3 linked regions of the Saccharomyces cerevisiae S288C genome follow. Changing the gene in region 2 together with the main gene of any one other region gives a genetic interaction. Each region holds a gene or a part of one and is shown on either strand. Other genes may lie near its edges. The genes, in order: SLY1, MDY2 and IRS4.

The links.
Region 1: mutations in MDY2 (region 2) and SLY1 together harm fitness more than expected from each alone (negative genetic interaction), as found in Saccharomyces cerevisiae (3 studies listed by BioGRID).
Region 3: mutations in MDY2 (region 2) and IRS4 together harm fitness more than expected from each alone (negative genetic interaction), as found in Saccharomyces cerevisiae (2 studies listed by BioGRID).

The regions. Positions count from the first base shown.
Region 1 is NC_001136.10:836,483-840,240, reverse strand, and holds the start of SLY1 (syntaxin-binding protein), read right to left. Parts: upstream 1,850-3,758; coding exon 1-1,849. Other genes in the region: chaperonin-containing T-complex subunit CCT6, read right to left, coding at 2,180-3,758. UniProt on the Saccharomyces cerevisiae protein: Able to suppress the functional loss of YPT1. SLY1 is essential for cell viability. May interact indirectly, or directly with YPT1.
Region 2 is NC_001147.6:107,736-111,032, reverse strand, and holds MDY2 (Mdy2p), read left to right. Parts: upstream 1-2,136; coding exon 2,137-2,775; downstream 2,776-3,297. Other genes in the region: ZEO1 (Zeo1p), read right to left, coding at 395-736; SHR5 (Shr5p), read right to left, coding at 1,144-1,857; Rab GTPase-activating protein MSB4, read right to left, coding at 2,845-3,297. UniProt on the Saccharomyces cerevisiae protein: Required for efficient mating. Involved in the production of alpha-factor, the KAR9 and TUB1 location to the shmoo tip and nuclear migration into pheromone-induced shmoos.
Region 3 is NC_001143.9:476,449-480,206, forward strand, and holds the start of IRS4 (Irs4p), read right to left. Parts: upstream 1,616-3,758; coding exon 1-1,615. Other genes in the region: VPS51 (Vps51p), read left to right, coding at 1,890-2,384; ALY1 (Aly1p), read left to right, coding at 2,786-3,758. UniProt on the Saccharomyces cerevisiae protein: With TAX4, acts as a positive regulator of INP51 activity and phosphatidylinositol 4,5-bisphosphate turnover. Negatively regulates signaling through the cell integrity pathway, including the MAP kinase SLT2. Also seems to be involved in rDNA silencing.

The sequences.
Region 1 (3,758 bases), on a different chromosome or scaffold from region 2:
GGTAGTTACCGCCACCAACTACAAACACTAGTGACTTATTATAAGATTGTCTTTTTGGCTTTCTGGTATGGGAACCCCTTGTAATTTTTGGGTCGATGTATAGGTAACTGTCAGTAGTCTCCAAATTTTTTTGAGAGCTGTTTAAAGGGTCCATTATCGCATCAACAACATTTGTTATCGGGATGGTTTTCTTTTCAGGCAGTAACTTCTTAATACCTGATATTAAACTTCCTACACCTCCTTGTAATTTGCCTTCAGTTAAGCCATAGATACCGGATAATGTTAAGTTGCTTGGTTTGAAAGCGGAATCGGATCCATCTTCCAAAGATTTATTTTGTAACGACATATTTGATAATTGCATGAACTCTCTTAGCTTATAAACATATTTTAAAGCATTGATATCGTAATCGTTTTCCTTGAAATAGTTTTCCACATTTTGGACAAAATCCTTTGGTAAGCCTGTCGTTGATGTCAAGTAAAGAACAATAAACGATCTCAGTTTGTCCTCAAGATTGTTTGTCTTACCATCTTTTAGTATATCCAAAAACCTAGATCTTGTTTTGGTGCTTCCAGGGTCTTGTTCAACTTCAAAGAAAGTATCAAGACTTTTACTTTCCAATTGTGACAACAATGCAGCAAAAATATTCATATGTGTATCAATAGTATTTTTCTTAGCTGTTAACTCTGGCAGTTTCTTTACGACTTCCTGAATTTGAACCGTATCATTATTCGAGTTTGGGTCCAAATCTGATATGTTGGTAACACCAGTTTTCCTAGTAATTTCTGCGGCTTCCTCCTTGTACGTATTCAATGCCGCTTCAACGTTCTCTGCAGCTTCTGGGAATGGCAAATGAGAGTTTTCCATCCAAAAAAAATCGTTTGGCTCTATATCATATTTTTTCGTGGCTAATGGTTTTGCGGTGGTATTGTCAGTTCCGTTTTCCTTACTTTCAAGTGGAATAGTAACGGTGTTTCTTGATAATTTGAAAATATCAAAGACCATGCACTGATAAATCCACGAATGTGAAAACATGGAGGCAAAATCTATGTTTCTATCCAAAATAATCAACACTCCTCTTTCCAGAGAATCATTTCCCTGCAAAGTGGAAGTGGAGGAGGAATTGGTATTGATGACGAAATCACGTAATTTTGTACCCAGTTTCTCAGCGATGATCTCAGCAGGCCCACCCTTAGCTGCTCTTATAATGGGGATAGAATTGATCGTTAAGACAGTGTTGAATAAACCGTCCGCGATGTTGGCGCATAAGCCCGTGATTTCCTCTTCTGTGGTTTTCGGGTCATTCAATGTCAAGTATGCGTTTGAAATTTCTAGTGAGAACAGTTCCGGTTCAGTTACAATGAAGTCCAGGTATTGGTCGTAAACTTGTTTGATTTTATCAGATTTACCCGTGATGGAGACTTGTTGAGCCAAATCTTCCAGGAGGTTTCTGGGCAGAGATGAGGTAAAGTTGATGTAAAATTCAGAATACTTGTCGCTTTTCAAGTCATTGACTATAATGTCAATGTTTTCCTTTGTGGGGGAGACGAAATATATGGCAGGGACATCTGGCAAGGGAGATCTGTCTTGTTTAATCAAGGAATGAACGGTGATACCAGCTTTCAGCAGGTCATTGACTCTGAGAACAGAAGATATGGTAGCAGTGCTCTTGATGTCCAGTATCAACACCTTCCAGATGATCTCCTGCTGGTTAAAAATATCGTCTGTGATGGTGGTGATGTTGTCGTTGTTGTTCAAATCCTTATTTAAAAACAGCATTTTTAATATGGCAGAGATTTGCATATCTCTTAAACTAATGTCCTTGCGGGACGCAATTTCCTCCACAGCCATGATGTTGTGATTTTTGGTCAAAGATACTTAGCAACTGGCAATGACTATTATAAGTTATCATGTCAGGTTATTAAAGGCTGAGTTAGAATGGTGCTTCTTTTTTTTGTTTTTTTTTTGTCGTTTCTGCAATTACTGTGGTCAACGCGAAGAGGGAAACGGTGTTCTTTGGCAAAAATTGGTATGATATTTTATATAATAAATGTATATATACAAAATATGATGATGATGATAGTGACTGGAAAAAATATGTTACATAGAATTTTTGTATCTGACTACTATTACTACTAGTATTCGTGTTCTTGTTATTATTATTATTATTATTATTTTTTATTACTGTGGTGTTTCTTTCAAAGTGGATCTACCTGCCCTTAACAATTCATCGCATAATAACAAGTTGCTGGCAATACCTGTAGCACCGGTAATAGCATTTCTTAGTACGCGGTAGGAATCCCAAATACCCTCGATGGTAGGGTCGCAAGAATCACCTATGTTCAAGTCCACACCAACATATCTCGTTTCGTCAGAATCCTGAGCGTCATCCAACTCGTCCTCCACCATTGCGAGCACGTCCAATGGGTCGAATCCTGAGTTCTTCACCAAAGTCTTTGGAATTACCAGCAATGCTTCTGCGAACGCCTCAATACCTGTCTTTGTTTTACCCTTGGCACCCAACTTGTTCATGTTGGCAGATCTTAGGTATCTCGAAAGGGCGATGTAGAACGCACCAGCGCCTGGAATGATGTTTTTGTCCTTGAGAACGTTTGCCACAGCTCTGAGACCATCTCTCACCGCATCCTTTGTTTGAGCGAGGGCATAATGAGTGGAGCCCTTGATTAAGATGGTGCAAGACTTGGGGTCAGTGTTCTCTGTAACGTATGTGAATTTTTCCTCGCCTATGGTTTCTTGGTAGACCAAGCCAGAAAACCCAAGAATCTGAGGCGACAAGTCTTCCACAGAGTTCTGAGCTTCACCGCCAGTGACCAATTGCAATCTTTCCATGTTACGTCTCTTGGCCCTTCTCAAAGCCAAGATGTTGTGTTTGGCAAACACGTCTAAAGACATGGGGTCAATGCCTTTTTGGTTAATGATAACAAAACCCTTGTCTGGATCCATGCCACAAACTTCGTTTTTCAAGTCGATGATCTTCTTCAACTTGGCATCCACAAACTTCCTCTCACTAGCGGCCAACTTGTCCCTTTGGTCCGCAGAACTGTAAAAGAACCCAGAGTTAACTTCAGTCTTCTCGTATTCCAAAGATACGTTCAAAATCAAAACATACGCGTTCTTCACACGGGTGGGCATGTCAGGATGCCTACCACCGTGGTCCAATACCAAACCCTTAATAAAAGTGGTATCTTTAGGAGACAAGTGCTGCATCTGCATGATCTCAACCATGTGTAAATCCAAATTGTCAGCCTGCGCGTCGTACACGCTTAGCACCGCATCCGTTACAATGGGCGTCAAGACCTCCGTCAAGTCAGCGTCCACCTTGGTTAGCAGCGACGACCGGGCCACTTGCAGAAGGAACTCTCTATCATTGGAAAGGTTCGTCTTACTGATCTTGAATTCGTCCAAAAATTTCATGGACTCCTTCCGCGCAATCTCAAACCCATCAGTGATGATCCGCGGATGCACGCCCTCTTGAATGAAACGGTGCGCTTGTCTAAGCAATTCACCCACAAGACACACAACCGTCGTGGTCCCATCGCCCGTGATTTCATCCTGCGCGGCAGCTGCCCTAGCAATCAGTACCGCTGTAGGCGACTGGATCTGCATCTCGGTCAGCAACACTTTACCGTCCTTGGTCAGCTTGATGTTACCAGCACCATCCACAAGCATCTTTAGCGTGCCCTTAGGGCCCAAGTTGGTCTCTAGGACGGATTGTAAGCCCTCAGCAGATGTGACGTTA
Region 2 (3,297 bases):
GGCGGTTAGTGTAGTGGTTATCATCCCACCCTTCCAAGGTGGGGACACGGGTTCGATTCTCGTACCGCTCATATTTTTACTTTCTTATCAAACTTTTTTTCCTCCGGGACGTGAAATAACCGCCGAGGTTATTCTCGGAGCATTCTTTTTTGTGGCTTTTGATCATCCATCATCATCATCATCATCATTATTACTACTACTACTACTACTACTATTATTATTATTATTATTATTATTATTAGTATTATTATTATTATATTGATTAGTTATTAGATAGATACAATTAAGAAAAATTTATGTAAAAGGTCAGAATAAACAGCATTTTTCTCCTCTTTTTTTATTTTTAAAAAAAGAAAAAGAAACTTCTAGTAAAGTGCAGCACATTCAAGTGTGATTAGTTGAAAATGGAAGCAATTTTACGGTTCAATTTCTTCAAGAAACCGCCTTCCTTCTTGGTTTCCTTCTTCTCACTGACGGCGGCGGAAGCTTGCTTCTTAGTTTCTTCAACTTTGTTGGCAGCTTCGGTCTTCTTTTGTTCGACACCATCAGCAATGTTTTGTTCTTCCTTCTTCACCTGTTCAGCTTCTGGAGTAGCTTCATTTTTTAGGTTGTCGATAGAAGCTTCAGCTTGTTCCTTTACTTCTTGGCCCTTGTTTTGCAAAGATTCTTTGGTTTCTTCCAACTTTTGTTGGACATCTTGGGCGGCAGTTTCAGCTTTGTTTTGAATTTCAGACATTATTAATTGATATAAACGTAGTTTTGTATGTTTCTTTGATTTGAACTTTTAAGTATACAGAGAAAAAAACCGATCAAAGAAAACTAAAGTATAATGAGGTTAAAAACGAAAGTAATAAAGTAGAAAGGCTATCAAGCAAACTGAGATGATCTTCGACGTAAAAACTCGCTCTATATATATACGCCATATAAGCCCATCGGCGATGGGGGACAACACGAAGAAACAAGAGAAGAGGAGAACCGCACAGAAAGCAGCAGAAACAGAGCAAACCAGCATTAACTAAAGATGATAAAAATAAAATTAGGTAAGAAACCTTAATTGGATATACAAAAATACACTGGAGGCACAAATCGCCATCGATATAAAACACGATAAAGCCCTGGTGCACCCATAAACCACACGTTTAACTATTTGGGTCGGGGCACGACGAAATCTAGGGATAGGCACCCGGACCGTCGGGGCAATACTAGGCGCACACCGCGCTCGTGAAGCAGACCTCCCGGCGAGTTTAGCTGCGCCACGTACTGCTCTAACGCGAGAGACTCCTGAAACACAGGTCTAGAAAGAAGGGGCCCCAAAACCCAGCTCCACAGACCGCCCGTAAGCATATCGAGCAACAGGCCACTTAAGTTACGCCACCCGAACACCTCACCTTCTTCACGCAGCAAGAATCCGTTTACCCGGTGCACAACCTCCGCGAGCTCTGCCGCACTAAGATATTCTGACAGAGGCGAGACGGAGGAGCAGCCAAACACGTGATCCCCAATGTCGTAACGCCCGCACCGCACAAAGCTAGTGCCATCGTCGCCCACGATTGCCGCCGGCTCGCTACCGGGAAGCTGTGTACTAAATTGTGGCGTTTCAAGGCTGCTGCGAGACTCATCGAACCGCCGGGGCACTCGTACCACCCGGGTCACCTGGAACTCGGCAGAGCCCCGAGCAGCATACACATTCGGGAAATGTGTAATACACAATTTGTGGTCTTCGTCGTGCTCTGTGGGTTTAGCGTCTTCGGAACCGAGGTCTTCGTAGAATGAATACGAAAACTCATGGTAATTAAAAAATAACGCCCTTTCGCTCGTATTTGCGTTATCTTCTTCCTTTTGATGGCTATCGCACATCTAGTAAGGGTTAGATTGAGTATTGTCCTCTAATGTAACTTTTTCCTCTTATTCCTCTCCTCCCCTTAGCTATTATATATCTTTTTTACCGAATCTTGAATTAGGAATAGTTTTAAAATCAGGCCGGAGGCCGAGCTTGCGACAACTACGACCAAAAAAAACAAAGGAAAAACGAAAAGAAGAAAACATGCACAGGAGAACATAGTTGGAGAAAAGGGTTAGAACAGACCGATACAGAGATAAACTAGCGAAGAATAATAACTTTATACAAAATTAATCATGAGCACATCCGCCAGCGGTCCAGAACACGAGTTCGTTAGTAAATTCTTGACCTTAGCCACTTTAACTGAACCGAAGCTACCAAAAAGCTATACTAAACCTCTGAAGGATGTTACCAATTTGGGTGTCCCGTTGCCTACTTTGAAGTATAAATATAAGCAGAATCGTGCCAAGAAGTTAAAACTGCACCAAGATCAGCAAGGTCAAGACAACGCCGCCGTCCACTTAACCTTAAAGAAAATTCAAGCTCCCAAGTTCTCCATCGAGCATGATTTCAGCCCATCAGATACTATCTTACAAATAAAACAGCACTTGATCAGCGAGGAAAAGGCCTCCCACATAAGCGAGATAAAACTGCTTTTGAAGGGCAAAGTCCTCCACGATAACCTGTTCTTATCGGATTTGAAGGTCACGCCTGCCAATTCCACAATCACAGTCATGATTAAGCCGAATCCGACTATATCTAAGGAACCCGAAGCCGAGAAATCCACTAACTCCCCTGCTCCTGCTCCTCCACAGGAACTCACTGTGCCCTGGGATGATATCGAGGCTCTTCTGAAGAACAATTTCGAGAACGATCAGGCTGCGGTTAGGCAAGTCATGGAGCGTCTACAAAAAGGCTGGTCTCTGGCCAAATAAGATTAGTATAGTTAGTACGTACATACTTGTTATTTTACACAGTTGCGCTTTTTATCACGGTTGCGCTTACTATTTTCTTCTTTCCTTTGGGCGGCTACTCGCCCTTTGTCTATTTCTCGCCATCGCCACATACTCTCTACCGCGATCAATCTTTTCCTGGGTAATACCATTCAACGCAACCTTCTTCTTCATCAGGACTTTCTCAAAGATATCATTCGGATTGAGCAATCTTTTTGGGAAATTTTGAATCACTTGCAAAATCTCCATATCTGCCTCTTCCTGCGTCTTAATCTTGTTCTTTAATCTTTTGAAAGTTGAATCAGAGTCATTACTACCACCGAAGGTGTACGAAGAGTACTGTCTAAACAGTTTCTGGCTTTTACTCTCCAAAAACTCGCTTTCGCTCAATTTCAGTATCCCCAAAGCCACTTTAAATAAAAAATGAGACTCTTCATAGAATAAACAGTCCCATATTCTCAGGGTCGTTTCGATGGGCACCACGCCCACAAAACAGCTCATAAA
Region 3 (3,758 bases), on a different chromosome or scaffold from region 2:
ATTTCCTATCTAAAGTACCATCTTTTCTTGTGTCTACCTTCGTGTAAATTTCTGCCAATAGACTATTGGGCAAGTTAGACCGCTTCCAGATATCACGGACTATGATACCCAATATCAATCCATCTTCGGGTAAAGTATTAATTGCTCCGGAATCACCCGTTATAGAGGGCCACCAGCTCAACAGGTTCAAATGACGGTGTCTGTTGCTTACCCACATGCTTTCGTAACGCTTCCTTTCGTTGTCTGTTACGAAAGTTATATCTGTATGTGATTTCCAGGGTTTATCCTCATTGAATTTCCGATCTCTCGTGCGGTGGATAGGCCTATGATGTGCAGTTTTATTGGCAGAATTCCTGATCTTTCTCTTAATTCTATCTCTTTTGCGTGGCTTGGTCAAGGCGTCCTGGTTCTGATCAGATTCAGAATCAGAATCAGTATCGTCATACACATCATACGTGTCGTTGGACGGATTGTACTTATACCTCAGATTTCCCTCATGTAGAGAGGATGCATGATCATTTTCTGCGTTTGTACTTACAGAGGTTTTACGTAATGTTGTTTTAAATCTCATACTCGGTTGTTGTTCATGTTGTCCCAGTTCTTCGCTGCTTGCATCCATTTCATATTGTGAAGATAAGTGCTTGGGCTTACTACCAAATACTTTCCTTTTGAACTTGTTAACAAGCTTCTTCTTCCTCATATCGGATGAATAGTTCGGAACCAAGTTGGGCAAACCACTTCCCTGGTTGCTCGTTGTAGTAGTAGTGTTTGAGCTTGCAATAGATGGCTCTGATTCACATAACGAGAGTTGATTAATTGTTTGAGATAGACTTGTTTGTGACCTATTAGAAATAACGTCTGAAGTGTCCGGATTGAGACTATGTCTGGAATCGATGCTAATTGATGATAGGTTTTCATTTTCATGAAGCTGACCACTGCCGACAAGTGATGATTGCAAGGGAGGAGACGGCCTGCGTTTGGGCAGAGCTTTGTTGCTGTCTTTATTAGTTGCAGGCTCCATAGAGCTCGAGGATAGCCTTCTACCGCTACTAAAGGAAGTAAGTAAATTCTCTTGAGATCTATTGTCGGGAGTTCTTTGGCCAGGCGTCAGTGATTCATTGGAGCCGTTTCTTGAGCTTGAGCGTGAATGAATGCCCAGCAAGCCATTCAAGTTCGGAGTTTCTAGAACTTTTAGTGTATCCAATGCCGAAGAATGGGAGGAGTTATTGTCAGAACTAAGTTTCGATTGTGAATGCGCTAAAGCAGCTGCCATTTGAGCAGTACTACTAACATTATCTTTACCTGCAGGGCTTGACCTGTGTTTCTTAGACAACTCAACATCATTAGGCGCCGTTGTTTTAATCTTAGGTACCTGTTTTGTTCGTATGCGTGCCTTCTTTTGTTCTTGTTTCCGCCCTGACTTTTGTAGCGATGGCTCTGATAACCTAGTTTGAGGATTCCTGCTCACCGTTACTGGAGGGCATGGACTGCTGACCTCATTGGAATGGTTCTGGAAGATAGCTTGCGCAGCGCGAAGGGAATCTGAAGCTCCTTGTTCAGTCAAAGTTACTGTTGTACCGCCATGATAACGCTGTTTACCAAACGAAAGTCTCATACTCCTCTGCTAATCTTTTCCTATGTCAAAAAAATGAATCTACCCAGGCCTTAAAAGTATGTTCTACCTGTGCAACGAGAGTGTTGTTGTGGCAAGGGTCCATTACACAATGGGCCTTTTTGTGATGATTCAACTTCGATATGCTTTATACGAGAAATCATCGAATTTTCGCTGCGTGGAAACAAGAGGCAGTAAGTTGTACGTATAGGTGAGGCTCTGCATAGAAGAGGCGTATTTGCGGTGAGACGGAATCTGACGAGGATATTAAGTACAGATGGCAGAACAAATTAGTCACAAAAAGTCCCTGAGGGTGAGCAGTCTGAACAAAGATAGAAGATTGCTCTTAAGAGAATTCTACAACTTGGAAAATGAACCGAATAAAGGTCGTCAAGAAGCACGTATAGGGGAAAAAGCCAGCGAGGCTCATTCTGGGGAGGAGCAAGTCACAGATGTGAATATAGATACCGAAGCAAACACTGAGAAACCAGTGAAAGATGACGAATTGAGTGCAACTGAAGAGGATCTCAAGGAGGGGTCAGAAGATGCAGAAGAAGAGATAAAGAACCTGCCCTTTAAGAGGCTAGTACAAATTCACAATAAGCTCTTGGGCAAAGAAACCGAGACTAACAATTCTATCAAGAATACCATTTACGAAAACTATTATGACCTAATAAAAGTCAACGACCTTCTCAAAGAAATTACAAACGCCAATGAAGACCAAATTAACAAGTTGAAGCAAACAGTAGAATCTTTAATCAAGGAACTGTAATTTCCAGCGGCATATCGTGGCTTTCACCGAACACTTCCTTCGAGAGAGTGCATTTTACTATGTGAACCAATTTTTCCTCTTTTTCGGTTTGCAAGTTCACCTGAAAAACTGCTTAACACTACTAGCAATTGCCCTATTGTCGTACGAGGACTTTGCCAAATGTATTCCCGGCTGTTTGTAGTATATATACGCAGATATATAATAGCGCCGTCTTTTTACCTCTTTGAGCGAATTGCCAAATATTGACTCTTTTGTCTTATTTCGCTATCCCCATCTTATCAAAAATGGGAACAACTCGTTGAAATAAGAGACAAGCAACAAGAAAGACAACCAACAGAAAGTTCCATTCCGCACAAATACGCTGGAATCCCATAGAATATTGCTTGTTCCTCTATGACTACATGCTCCAATTCAATACAGAAAATGATACTGTAGCTCCAGTGTTTCCCATGGAGCAAGATATAAATGCAGCACCTGATGCCGTCCCACTGGTGCAGACAACAACACTACAAGTCTTTGTAAAGCTTGCCGAACCCATAGTGTTTTTAAAAGGATTTGAAACTAACGGACTGTCTGAAATAGCCCCCAGTATCTTACGAGGATCTCTTATCGTCAGGGTGTTGAAACCGAATAAATTAAAAAGTATATCGATAACCTTCAAAGGAATATCCAGAACAGAGTGGCCGGAAGGTATACCACCGAAGAGAGAAGAATTTTCAGATGTTGAAACTGTTGTCAATCACACATGGCCATTTTATCAGGCGGATGACGGCATGAATTCTTTCACCTTAGAACATCACAGCTCAAATAATTCGTCCAATCGCCCATCTATGAGCGATGAAGATTATCTACTTGAAAAAAGCGGTGCTTCAGTATATATCCCACCAACCGCTGAACCCCCTAAAGATAATAGCAATCTAAGTCTGGATGCCTATGAGCGCAACTCATTGTCATCCGATAATTTGAGTAACAAGCCAGTATCAAGTGATGTTTCCCATGACGACAGTAAACTGTTGGCTATTCAAAAGACACCATTACCATCATCTAGTCGAAGAGGATCGGTACCGGCAAATTTTCACGGTAACTCTTTGTCACCTCATACCTTCATATCTGATTTGTTTACAAAAACATTCAGTAATAGTGGCGCTACTCCAAGTCCTGAGCAAGAGGATAACTATCTTACACCATCCAAAGATTCTAAAGAAGTTTTTATTTTTCGACCGGGCGATTATATTTACACTTTTGAACAGCCAATATCGCAATCTTATCCAGAAAGTATAAAAGCCAATTTTGGTTCCGTGGAGTATAAACTGTCAATAGACATAGAGAGGTTTGGCGCATTCAAATCAACTATACATACTCAATTACCCATCA